3 linked regions of the Mus musculus genome follow. The protein of the gene in region 2 purifies or fractionates together with the protein of the main gene of each other region. This does not show direct contact. Links are inferred from orthologs where the notes say so. Each region holds a gene or a part of one and is shown on either strand. Other genes may lie near its edges.

Region 1 (4,142 bases), on a different chromosome or scaffold from region 2:
CCACACCAAACCCGCCATGACCACACCAAACCCGCCATGATCACACCAAACCCGCCATGACCACACCAAACCCGCCATGACCACACCAAACCCGCCATGATCACACCAAACCCGCCATGATCACACCAAACCCGCCACGACCACACCAAACCCGCCATGATCACACCTTCTTCTGGAAATGTATAAACCTTAGTTTCACCCTGCTTTTCATGGCAGCCCAAAATCTTGACATTTAAACCTGTATGTGCCTCTCAATACCTAGAAAACCTCAGCAGTTTTTATTCCTCTCCTTTCTTATAAAATATACTGAGCGAATTTGGGTCTTCTAAAATACATTTTTTCATAGAACTCTCTTCTTGTTTAGACTTGGGGTTTGTTGGTTTCTTTTTGTCTTTTGTGTGGCTGTTTTAGGAGACGGCACATATCACATTCTGTGGTTTAGGCTGACCCTGAACTTGATGATCCTCCTGCCTTAGCCTCCCCAGTACTGGGGTTACAGCACCCCTGGCTCTGTGCACCTTCTGTATTCTGGGTGTGTTTCTTGTTTTAGGTATATTTACTCAGTTTCTCAATACTCAGACAAGGTCTTAGTGACTAACTTTTTGAGTCCCTGCATGTCTAAAACTGTCACTGCTTTGATTTTTCCATTAGGGACAGTCTGGACAGAGTTCTCAGTTTTAAATCATTTCTCCCCTTACACCCTAGAAGAGACTGTTTCGCTACTGTGCCTGACACAGCATTCTCTGGTAATACAGCTCCAGACTTCCTTGATCTAATCAAACCTTTCCTGATTTATTTATAAACTCTAGTGTTACTTCTAGACTCTAGCCCACTGAACAAAGTCAAAGCTCTTTGCTTAAAGTGTCATCGCTCAGAGGCTGACAGTCCCTCCTACCTGAGACTAGTCACTCTGGCATTTCCTTGTGCTTTCATGAGGTGACATGGCACCCTATGACACAGGCATAAATAGTGTTCTGAGCTACAAAGTGAGATTTTCTACTGTGTCTGTGGACTAATTGTATATGTCCCTCAAGATGCACACACAAAGCCCCAACCCTGTGACAGCCAGTGAAGGCAGAGACTGTGGGGTGATCAGGTAAGACAAGCTCATTTGGAGGTGCCGGGGTGGGTCAGGGCATACAGCGCCTGAGAAGAGGAACTCCAAACCCAGCTTCCTCCACAGCCTCAGCACATGAAAATTCAGAAAGAAGGCTGCCATCTGCACGGAGAGGAGGGACCTCAGTGAACACAGCATGAAAGCACCCATGGGTTCAGACCTGCAGGCTGAACAGAGAAGTGTGAGAAGAAAATCTCTGTGGTTCCCATCCCTGGCCTGGGTGCTGTGTTCACTTCCATGCATGCCAGTTTGTATGCATCCCAGGCTAGCCTCCAGTTGGCTTTGTAGGTCAAGACGACAGTGAGCTTCGGATCCTCTGGCCCTCCTGTTTCTACCTTCCAGCACTGGGCTTACAGCCTCACTCCACCAACCTGGTTTTCAAGGTGTGGTATTTTGCCATAACAGCTCAAGCTGACTAAAGCAAGTATCACAACCAAGTCTACAATACTAAATGATTTAAAAAAAATTCATGTGCAGACTAAATGAGCTTTAATTATAAATAGTTGAATAGAACCAGTAATTAACATAAAATTCATAAAAATACTTTCAGGTCAAAAGGGACATCGAGTGAAACCTACTAAGCGATTCACCACAGCCTGACTAAGCCCTGACGCCCTTGGATGTGGTGGGCAGACCTGGGGCTCTCAGCAAGTGACCGACAGGCCTGCACCCAGAGCCCCAGACCATGAGAAAGGTCCAGGTGCTTGTGACAAACTGAAACATCAACTCCATCTTTTCACAAGGCCATGGGAGTCAGCCATTTGCATGCTGAAGGCCAGAACTGTTCCTCACCTTTTTGGGGTCCATGTTGAATTTCTTCCTTCCCATGGCTATTTGCTTGTTCCTCTGAGTAGTTTTGCTATTGGTTTTAAACAATTTTGAAAAATCATTAGTATTTCACAGAGTACAGCAGAACCACACATCCCTGTTCCTTTTCCATCTCAGGTCAACCTGGGCATAAGGCAGTGGTGTCCCGCAGACCCTACTGCCCTCCACAGGTGACACTGCTGCAGCGTTTTGCATTTTCATGAACAGTAAGACTTCTTCAGAAAGGCTAATGGTGAAAAGCAGGGCCTTGCTACAAAGCAAGACTTTAGAATCCTGTTCTCATAATACAGAGTTAACTCAGAGTCCCTCTGCTTACTCCCACACCTACAAAGTTGGCGAGGACACAGGAGGCATGAGGAAGGATGGCCAAAAGCCCAACTTCCCAGCCCAGCCCTTGCTCCTGCTATAGTGGCTGGAGGAGGTGGCAGAAATAAAGAGGGGGAGGAGTCTCAACAGCCACAAGCATTTTACCTCTCCTCCACTGAAGTCAGGTTGTCAATCTCCGTCATCACTTCTGCAATTTCATATTTCAGCCTCTGTTAGAAAAGAAGGAGCCAGGTCATGGGGTATCTTCACTCTCCTATACTCATAGGCTCAGAGACATCCGATCTTCTCCAGGCACACGCTTTCCTAAGGACTCATATGAGCATCACAAGGCCCAAACTCAACATCTGTACCAGTAAGGTAGACTCAATGCCAGAGGCAGCACAGCACAGAGAACACAGGCAAGCAAGCATACACTCATGCACGCACACTCATGTACTCACACACTCATGCACACGCATATTCATGTACGCCCACACTCATGCTCGCCCACACACAATCTCCACCTCTCATCACACATATCACATGTGTCTAACTAGGCAGGCTCTTGAGTATCTGTGTAAAAAATCAAGAAGGGAGTAAACAATACAAAAGCATGGACAGGCAAGCCGGGGTCCTTAGCTAAACCATGTGGTCATCACATATAACCAGACGCATGGGTAGCCTGCATTCTGAGGGGAGCAGAGACTTGGATATGTCTAAGTTGACATCAGGTTTGCCAACCAGTCTCATGACTGTCACTTCATAAAAGATGAAGCCCCTCAGGGCTAGAGAAACGGCTTAGAAGTTAACACACTGTGCTACCCTCTTCCAGAGAACCTAAGTTCAATCCGTGCACACACATCAGATGGCTCACACCACTTAAGTCTAGCTCGAGGGGGTCCCATTCCTCTGGCCTGTGGGCACCTGCACTCATGTCCATAGATACACACACATATACATCATTTAAAATAATAAAAATTCAAAGTGATGATTAGTTACGATTCTCTTTTGTTTTTTGGTTTTTCGAGACAGGGTTTCTCTGTGTAGCCCTGGCTGTCCTGGAACTCACTTTGTAGACCAGGCTGGCCTTGAACTCAGAAATCCGCCTGCCTCTGCCTCCCGAGTGCTGGGATTAAAGGCGTGCGCCACCACGCCCGGCTAGTTACGATTCTTTTTAAAAGAGCAACATGAAGCCCTAAGAACAAGGCCCAACTCAGAGACATCAGAAACGGAGGGGACAGAAAAGGCTCAACCCCCTGTGGCTGGCTTCCCCACCTCTCTGCAGTCAGAGTTCAGGGAAGGGGCCGTGTTATTAAGCAGTACAATCACTCTGTCCACACGATACCCACTCTCACTCTTTAGATAAAGGACTTCTCTGGTTTGCAGAATTTTCCAAGAATGCAGGCTAACCTGACAGCCAAACAGCCACCAATTACCTCTCAAGTACAAAGACATTATATTCAGAACCCTATTATGTATGTGCCAACAAGTTCAAACTTAAACAAGTTCCTAGAAAGGAGCCATTGTCTAGGACAATCGTGGCCTGTGAAGCAACATTTACTTTGGCAGTGACAGTGACTAGGAGGCCCCTCAAGCCAAGCCACACAACCATCTTTCCTGAGGACCAGGCGGCCCCTGCGTGCCGTCTGAAGCAGCTCAGATCCCCAGCTCTGAATGTATTGTATGTAGCTTCACTCAGCTCTTGCCCTGTGGGACACCCTCCGCCCTGGCCTCCGAGTCAAGTCCACAACTGTGGGAAGGCACTGTTTACCCATCGGTTTTATTTATCTTCGTTTAAATTTGTTATTCTGCCCTTACCAAGCAGGCACATGGTATATAGTTAGAATCCAACAAGTATGCTTGTCTGTCTATTCAAAGGACACAGACTGCC
Region 2 (4,142 bases):
TTCAAGTACAGAGGTGGCCCTCGGGGACCATTATACCTCCATCAGCATGTGCCTTACCATACCCAGGGCCTGTGGAAAATGAAGAACTGAGAATGACTTTTTCCTTAGAGTCTTGGCGAGTGACAGTGATGTCCTATATTAGGGCCAGAGCCACTGAAAGCAGAATAGGGTTTGGCCACTAAGCCCAGTTTTCCTGGTCAGTCAAGACATGGAAGAACACGTTGTTCCTTGCCATCTACGCCAGGCTTCCAAGGGTGGCCTGGCTGGTGTCTGTTCAGACGCTTTGTCCTGGAGGTCACAGGTACTGAAAGCAATGCCTGCCTGAGGCACACAGCATAGGGGGTGGGGAGGACCTTGAAGCTTCTACTGTGTCCAGCCAGAGAAGAGAATTGCAGGGCAAGAACCAGCTGATATTCGAGTATGGACCAGGACATGGGGAAGCCTGCTTGCTCCCCAGGCTGAGCCTGAGGCTCTGGGTAAAGAGCAGCTTGTCCCTCTTACCACTTCCTTAAGACACAGCCAAGCAAGAGACTGACTCCAGAGCTGATCTGGGACTGGAGGAATGGAGGCTACAAGTCCCAACTTGACAGGATTTGGGTCAGGACAAAGAAAACGGTCCCATCTCAGGGTTCAAAAGCACTAGAAGCTCACCAGACCGGGCACACTGAAGTCATTTGGCTGGCTCTGGTTCTGAGGTGCCCCGCAGCCTCATCTCTGGGTCAGGGCTCAGTCACTAGGCTACAAGAACGGTTCAGCACTCTTGACCAGTTGCAGACACTGACGGGACTGTAGAGTTATGACTGGATTTCAGTCTAAACACCCATGCGTATGTGGCCCTGAACCCATCAGTCATTGGCTACCCATAGCAACAGCAATTCCCTAAAGATGCTGAACGAGCATCGCTGCAGAGCCTTCTGCCTACTGAACTTTTCTCCCTCAAGATAGTATTTGAGTTTGAATAAACACTTGGATTACTATCAAACAGAGAAAAGCCTTCTGTCTATAAAGTCTTGTGGGAGCGGTACACTACGTGAGAGATGCAAGCGGAATGAAGGTCTCCCAGAGTGGAGATGCCTTGTCGGGTACATAGGTAAGAAAGGACCTGTTTGGACCCAGAAAGGAGTACCCTGATGGCGCTGACGAGAAACAGTATTAGCACAGGCGCTATCGAAAGCATAACGCAGGGCCACACTGGCCGTCCCACAAGAGCTGTGTGAGGCTTTCATGGCTCAGGACAATGGGCTCACCTCTGCCCAGGGAGGGCACAGTGGTAGGAGGGGGCTCACTGTTCCGCCGCCGATCACCCAGGCAACGCTGAAGGTCCCGCAGCTTCTTCTCCTCCTGCAGCGCAGCGTGCTTCCGCTGCCTGCGTGCCTGTCTGCTGAGGTTCTCCTCTGCACACAGCCTTCGAGCCGCCTCGGTGATCTGAAGCTGCAGAGCCAACTGGCGCTCTAGGCTGCTCAGGGGGTCCTGAGGGAGGGGTTGGGGGTGAGGGCTAAGAGGGTCCTCGGCGCTTAGAGGACAGAAATCTCCAAGAGACTCTGACCCAGTTGTGAGCAGACTGCAGTGTCCAGGGATACACAGCAAAAGGTGGGGCACTGGGAGCAGCCCAGAGCCAACTTGTCACCATGAAAAGTTGCCACAATCGTCCCACCCCCTGCTACCTGCTGTGCCGGGCTGGGAGAAGACTTAAGTAGGTCACTTTCCTTCCTGACCCCAAAGGACCAAGCATGTCAACCTACAAAAATCTCTCCAAGAGGAAGGTCATCTAGGGTTGGAGTGACCCTACTCCCTTCCACCTAGGCTGAGAAAGGATAGGCCTCGTGCCACACCAACCTCCCTGAATAGGCAACTGGCTTTTTGAGCTGGTTATTGGTCTTTTTAATCCTCTGCCACAGGGGCCAAGCTGCTGAGGTGGCATGCCTACTCAGAGCCATCTGGACCACTCCTGAGAAGCCTGGGATTGGCCACCGCCCACATGGATGACAGGGATTGCCAGTGCACTGCTGGTAGTCAGCCTTTGGGGATGAGGTACAGCGACCACCTCCTCTGACGTTCCTCACCTCTCTGTGGAGGGCCCACTCATCCAGCTTGTACGCTGCTCCGATCCTGCGCCGGACCTTGGGGGCCTTCTCACCAGGCTTAAGGGGATACTCTGCCGGCAAAGTCCCAGTCAGCTCCTAGAGGGGGGCAGAGTCAAGTCGGGCCCCTTCACCCCTCTCTGCTTGCCCAGCCCTTGACCGATCATTTAAAACTTCCCACCCAGCTCCACACTGCATGGACCTGATATTCCAGAGGCCCCTAAAATGGCGGGACACTTGTACCTCTGCCCACCTCGTCCCATCTGCCACAGTTGTCTTCCTCCCGCATCCTTGAAGAACACTTCTTCTCCCTTTGCCTTCTTATCCCCTCTGGTCGCTTCCTCCTGAGGGCCACCCTGACCCAAGGTACAGCTATCAAATGCGCTTCCATCTCTTTGGCCCCTCTGCACATCCCCTCATCGCTTCCTTTCCTGTACTTGAGACCCTACTCAGGTCTACCCAGTGTCCAGGTCAAACCCGAATGACAGAAACTCTAGGCCCACACCTCAGTCTAATTTCCAATCCCCTAGAAGGGTTTTCCCCTTGGTATAGTTTTGAGACTCCTCAGATGAATGCTAAGTTTGGGGGGGCAGGGACTTAGGAACCTCACCGCCTCCCTCAGGCAGAGTCTGCGCAGCTCCTCCAGGCAGGCCTCCAGCCTCGCTTCCAGAGCCCTCTGCTGCTTGCGTACTGCATTGGTCAGCTCTTTCATTGGAGAGACAGGGCTGTCCGGGCCTGCAGGGAGATAAGAGACACCTGCTCAGGAACGCTGAAGCAAGGCATCCCTAGGACACTGTTGGCCACCTCTGGGGGAGTGCACACCCATACCGTCTCATGCTTGCCCACAAATTACAGGCTAGCCGTTATGGCTTGTGTCACAGCCACATCATGTCTCCTGGCTGCTATAGTTCAAAGGGAGAGCTGTCCCACCAGGGTGACCTGGGTGTGGGAGGGGCCCATGTGTCTTCTCTTCCTCCTCCTCTCCCGTCCTCTATCAAAACCAGGCCAGACTAGACCCACGGGCTCAAGCGTAGTAGGGATGGGACATTAACACCAGCAAGATACAGTGTTCCCACTTCTTAGTAAGCATTGGAGCTGAAGATGGACAAAACTGATCTCTGCTCCAGATAGGACAGGAACTCCTGGCTGGTTGGTGCCTTCCAGCAAGGAAAACGGCAGTTCCTTGAGGTGCCAGATCTTCCAGCCGTTCCACTTCTCCAGCAGGAACCCCTCCGTTCCCTCCTCTCCCCAGCCCTTTGGGAGGTCTAGCCCAGCTAGCCCAGGGCCTAGGGACTCACTCTGGAGTCAGGGAGCAGGGCAGGGGAATTTCCTGGATCCACTCACCAGACTGCAGGATGATGCCGCTGTCGGAGTCACTGACTTCATCCTTACTCTCCATGATGAGTTTCTGGGAAGAGGGGGCACAGAGGAAGGAGGGGCTGCACTGGTCCCAGCCTGGGCCAGGATGTGTAGGTAGTCTGGAGTGTTCCCAGCTTTTAAGAGAAGATAACAACCAAAATGCTCTATGAAGTCTCAATGCTTGAGCGTCGGGAATGGAAGTGCGGGTTGTGTCTCTGGAATGATCTGGGGGGAGGGGTTCTCAGTGTGCTCTGGGGTGGGAAGGCATTCCAAGGGAGGGTTCAGCCTAGTCCCTCAACCCCCCCAAAAAGTCTTTGGGTCCAAAGGGGCCTACTGCACTGGTGGCTGTACAAGAATAAGAAAGAGAACAGAGAGAAGAAAAGGAGGAGATGGGAAGATTGGACAGGCTGGCAAAGCCAAGGACTCTTCATAGGTATGACTGCTCTCAGCTTGAACACGGGAGACTTGAGGCATGGCCTACTGCCCCACTGTTTGAAAGCATGATGAGAAAAGGCCTGGACAGTGGGCACAAAGCCAAGGCTGGCCAGGGGCCCAAGGACCGGTGCACCATGTTGTCTGGACCTGGTCATTCACCAGGCAGGGGGAAGCAGAGTTGAATCCCAAGTCAGCAGTTTACCCTAGGAAACTTCTCAACGGGGAGTTAGCCTGCAGACCCTACACCCCACGGCTAGGGTGGAGGGG
Region 3 (4,142 bases), on a different chromosome or scaffold from region 2:
CCTCTCATTTTCTGCCTCTATTCTTTTCTCAACTCCCCTTCCCATGCCCCCAAATAAACTGTATTCTATACTATACCCATCATATGGTTGGTACGCCCGCTGAGGTACCCCCTCCCACTGCACTATCCCATGCTCTATAAAAGATATCATTGGCATTATAAAACACATTAATGCTATTGTGATAGAAAAGTAAGTACTAGATGTGACCCAGAGCACCCAGTTAGAAGGTGGGCTTTGAGTGGGGGAAGGAGAGCGAAGGTGAAGTAGGTTACCTGCTGCAGTTAGCTCTGAGTGGCATAGCCTGAGGAGCCCGATGGTGCTGAGGAGAGCCCAGCATTCCCTAGCTCAGTTATTGAGACATGGGCAGGAGGAGCTGTGTCTCCTGTAGGTGTCCTCTCACACTGCAGGCGCAGAGGAGCAGCTCGGATCAGGTGTCCTGAGGCCAGCACTAAAATGCTTGGCAGGAAGAGGATAACTTCCCACGGGGTTTAGGGAACTATCAGAAAGACGTATTTGTTTGTTTTTCTTTTATACAATTATAGAACTGGATTTGGTTGGTTGGTTGGTTGGTTGGTGGGATTGCTTGTTATTGTCATATTGTGCCTGTGTCACTCTAATCAGTATGCTTGAGAAGCAACAGGTTTTGACCAAGGTTAGCTGGCTGGTAGGGGTAGAAGTCTGTCCATGGTAAGGGCCCTGGCTGATGAGATGCACAGTCCCAGAGAGGGCCAGTTGAGGTGGAGGGAGGGGTGAGATCTGTCTGTCTGGACCTGAGCTCCAGCACCAATATGGATCTTGGGGCCGCTGTCCAAAGGACAGTGTTTCCCTAAGGACACACATCTGGGTGATGGGCAGTGGGCAGGAGGCAATGGGAAGTTCAGTTGCAGTTCCTCCATCAGGCACGGGCAGGAGTACCTGGGCCTAGGCTGGGAAAGGCTCCCAGAAGCTAGTGGCACAGAACCAGGAGGAGGAAAAGGAAAAGGAAAGCCTGGCAAAGACATGGAGGAGGGGGAAGGCCCTTTCTTAGGGAAAATGGGCCAAAGTGTTCCTGCTTGAGACTCGTGGGTCATTCATTGTCAGGCATACTTTGATGGCACCTGCTGAGCCCTCTGGCCTTGTTATCTGTAAAAAGCTTTGGATTTTCCAGCCACACCACACACTCATGACCCTATTGTTAGAACCCAAGCATGGCCTGAACCAACCTAGGAGCTTCAGGGAGGAGTCAGGATGGGCCTAGGGAGGAAAACAGGTGTTTCCTCCACAGAGAGTAAAGCCTTTCTCTTGCACCTGTCCCAGGACAAAGAGCCCCGCGGGATTATCCCCCTGGAGAACCTGAGTATCCGAGAAGTGGAGGACTCCAAAAAGCCGGTGAGTGTCTTGCTCCTGTGCCCAGAGTGGGGAAACAGCTGGGATTATGACCTGGAGAACCTGAGACTCAAAGCCTTCACCTTTACCACCTCCACCATCTCTTCTGATTGTCCTTACTTTGCAAGTCTGTCTGCTTCGGTGCCACATGCTGACTTTGAACCAAGATCTAGGAACTGTCTCACAGCTGTGAGCACCCATAGCTTGGTGCCAGTTTTATAATTCCGATGCACTATATGGCTTGAAAGCAGCTCACCTGCAGCCCTGCACATGCTCCTATCTGTCAGGAGCGGAGCCAGCTGGTGTCAGGCCAGCCTTTCAGCCAGCGGGCCTGGAAACATAGTTGAAGTGTTCTATTCTAAGCTGCTTTTTTCCATAGGAAGAAATCGTGTCTATGTGCCCATGTGTGCATGTGGTGAACTTCATTGTCACTCTTCATTGTCACTGTCCACCTCATTTTCTGAGTCAGGGTCTCAGGCTGGGGAGATGGGTGGGTGGGGAAAACATGAGACAAGAGCTGGCAACACAAGAACCTGAGTTCAGACCCCAGAGAAGCTGGGTGTGATCATGTGTGTCTGTGACTTCCACAAGCCACGGGCTTGCTCACCTAGTGTGCAGTAGGAAAACAGCAAGGAGGCCCATCTCAAACAAGGTAGAAGACAAGGGCTGACACTGGAACTTAGTCCTCTTCATTCCATCCCCATACAGTACACTGCATTACACACACACATGCACACATACAAGACACACACACACACACAGTGAATATGTATGTAATTTTGTTTTTTGAGACTGCAGTCCTGGCTGTCCTAGAACTCTCTCTGTAGATAAGGCTGGCTTCAAACTCATAAATCTTCGTGCCTCTGCCTCCTTGAATCTGGGATTAAAAGCATGTACCACCATGCCTTGCTTCTTTTTTTGGCTTTTTAAAAAACAAATCCTTAAAAAGAGAGTCCCTGGAAGCTTGTAGGCCGAATAGCCTGATAAACATAACAGCCAGATCAAGAGATCTGCCTCATATAAGATGGAGGGTGACTTTGCTTGTCTTCTGACCACCACACTTGTCATGGCATGTGTTTGCCCACATTTACATACATGCACACACACACACCAACAGTGTATCTTACTGGGAACTGGGTTTTTCTGCTGGCCTGGCTGGCCAGCCCTAGAGTCCCAGCAGGCTCACAGCTTCCTCCTCCCATTGTTGGCATTGCAAGTCTATGTGTATGCCACACCTGGCTTGCTATTATATATTTATTTTTATTTATATGTTTGTTTGTTTAGTTTTGGTTTTCAAGTCAGGGTTTCTCTATGTAGCCCTGGCTGTCCTAGAACTGAGTTTGTAGACCAGGATGGCCTTGAACTGAGATCTACCTGACTCAGCCTCTCGAGTGCCAGGATTAAAGGTGTGCATCACCACACTCGGTCTACGCCTGGCTTTGTCGATTCAGGATCAAACTCAGCTCCTCGGCCTTCTATAGCAAGCACTTTACTAGCTGCCTTATGTCCGGTGGTCTCAGAAAGTGCATGCTCTGAAAGTGCTCTCTGACACATCTCTCTCGAGAGTAAAGACAAAGAGTCTTTTGGGAAATGAATAACATTTTCTTTGATCAGCAGCTTCCTGAAATCTTACTGCCACTTTCTCGTGTTCTCCTCAGAACTGCTTTGAGCTTTATATCCCTGACAATAAAGACCAGGTGATTAAGGCCTGTAAGACAGAGGCGGACGGGCGAGTGGTGGAAGGGAACCACACTGTGTACCGCATCTCAGCCCCAACTCCGGAAGAGAAGGAAGACTGGATCAAATGCATCAAGTAGGTGGCTCCCTCCCAGGCAAGCCGCTTACCCACTCACCTCATGAGGTCCTCTCCGCTGCACTTCCTGTCCTGCCAGCCCTGAAAGGCTGCAGGGAGGTTCCCAGCTTGCTTCCCAGCAGGCCTTTGGATTCCTGCCTGTTGGAAAATTAGTAAGCCCTGTCTCTAGCCTAGGTACCCAGACAGTCAAAGACCCAGAGCGGGGATGAGTGCCACTCACCCCCATTGTGAGAGGCATCTCTTCCTGTGGCAGCTCAGTGTGACGAGCACTGGGCTTTATTAGACCTCTCATCCAGTGAGACCATTCTCCAGTTTGAGACACAGAAACTGAGGCCCACAGGTTTTGAGAGTTATGAAAGGTTCCAGAGCCTTGATGCAAGGCCGTAAAGCAGAGCTCCAGCCCCTCCCATATGCTGTGAGAACACAGGCGCCTGAGTGAAGGGAGCCACTTAAAGTCCACCATTAATCACAGTCCCATGGGTGAGGTTTACCTCAGGGACAGGCCTGCCCAGGGTGGCATGTAACTGGAAACAGGCTTTGCAAAGCCCATTGGTAGCTTCGTCAGCCTTGTTCCCTAGGATTCATGTGAAGCCTGGGCTGACAGGCATCTTTCTCCTATCCCCAGGAAGACAGCCATTGAGCACTCTGGCTTCTCCACCCTCTTGGCAATTATTTCTCCCAGTAATGTATACCTAATCACAGTCCTGGTACTGTGGCCGTCAGGTGTTTTCCTCAGAGAGCTTTCCTTGTTATCTGGGCTTCGATGACCTAGGAAGTGAGGAGGGCGCGCCATCAGGCCACAGGCTATCTCAGTGCTCTCAGACATGAGAGTCTGATTTAGTGTAGTATTTTGGTCAAGATTAGGCAGAAAGTAAGTAAGTTCTGGATGTGGTGACAGTGTACCAGTTGGGAAGAGTTGATGCTTGACTCTGTAAAGATGCTGATCAAAATTCCTAGAGAAAGG

What was found.
Region 1: the proteins of Inava (region 2) and Cyth3 purify together in Homo sapiens (co-immunoprecipitation; 3 studies listed by BioGRID and IntAct, counting the BioPlex papers as one, with this or other methods). This does not show direct contact. The link is inferred for Mus musculus from reciprocal best matches to the Homo sapiens genes INAVA and CYTH3.
Region 3: the proteins of Inava (region 2) and Cyth1 purify together in Homo sapiens (co-immunoprecipitation; 3 studies listed by BioGRID and IntAct, counting the BioPlex papers as one, with this or other methods). This does not show direct contact. The link is inferred for Mus musculus from reciprocal best matches to the Homo sapiens genes INAVA and CYTH1.

Annotation. Positions count from the first base shown.
Region 1 is NC_000071.6:143,684,812-143,688,953, reverse strand, and holds part of Cyth3 (cytohesin-3), read right to left. Parts: intron 2,482-4,142; coding exon 2,417-2,481; intron 1,977-2,416; coding exon 1,910-1,976; intron 1-1,909. UniProt on the Homo sapiens protein: Promotes guanine-nucleotide exchange on ARF1 and ARF6. Promotes the activation of ARF factors through replacement of GDP with GTP. Plays a role in the epithelial polarization.
Region 2 is NC_000067.6:136,224,089-136,228,230, forward strand, and holds part of Inava (innate immunity activator protein), read right to left. Parts: intron 3,575-4,142; coding exon 3,426-3,574; intron 2,817-3,425; coding exon 2,692-2,816; intron 2,181-2,691; coding exon 2,064-2,180; intron 1,471-2,063; coding exon 1,248-1,470; intron 1-1,247. UniProt on the Homo sapiens protein: Expressed in peripheral macrophages and intestinal myeloid-derived cells, is required for optimal PRR (pattern recognition receptor)-induced signaling, cytokine secretion, and bacterial clearance.
Region 3 is NC_000077.6:118,168,052-118,172,193, reverse strand, and holds part of Cyth1 (cytohesin-1), read left to right. Parts: intron 1-1,296; coding exon 1,297-1,368; intron 1,369-3,023; coding exon 3,024-3,178; intron 3,179-4,142. UniProt on the Homo sapiens protein: Promotes guanine-nucleotide exchange on ARF1, ARF5 and ARF6. Promotes the activation of ARF factors through replacement of GDP with GTP.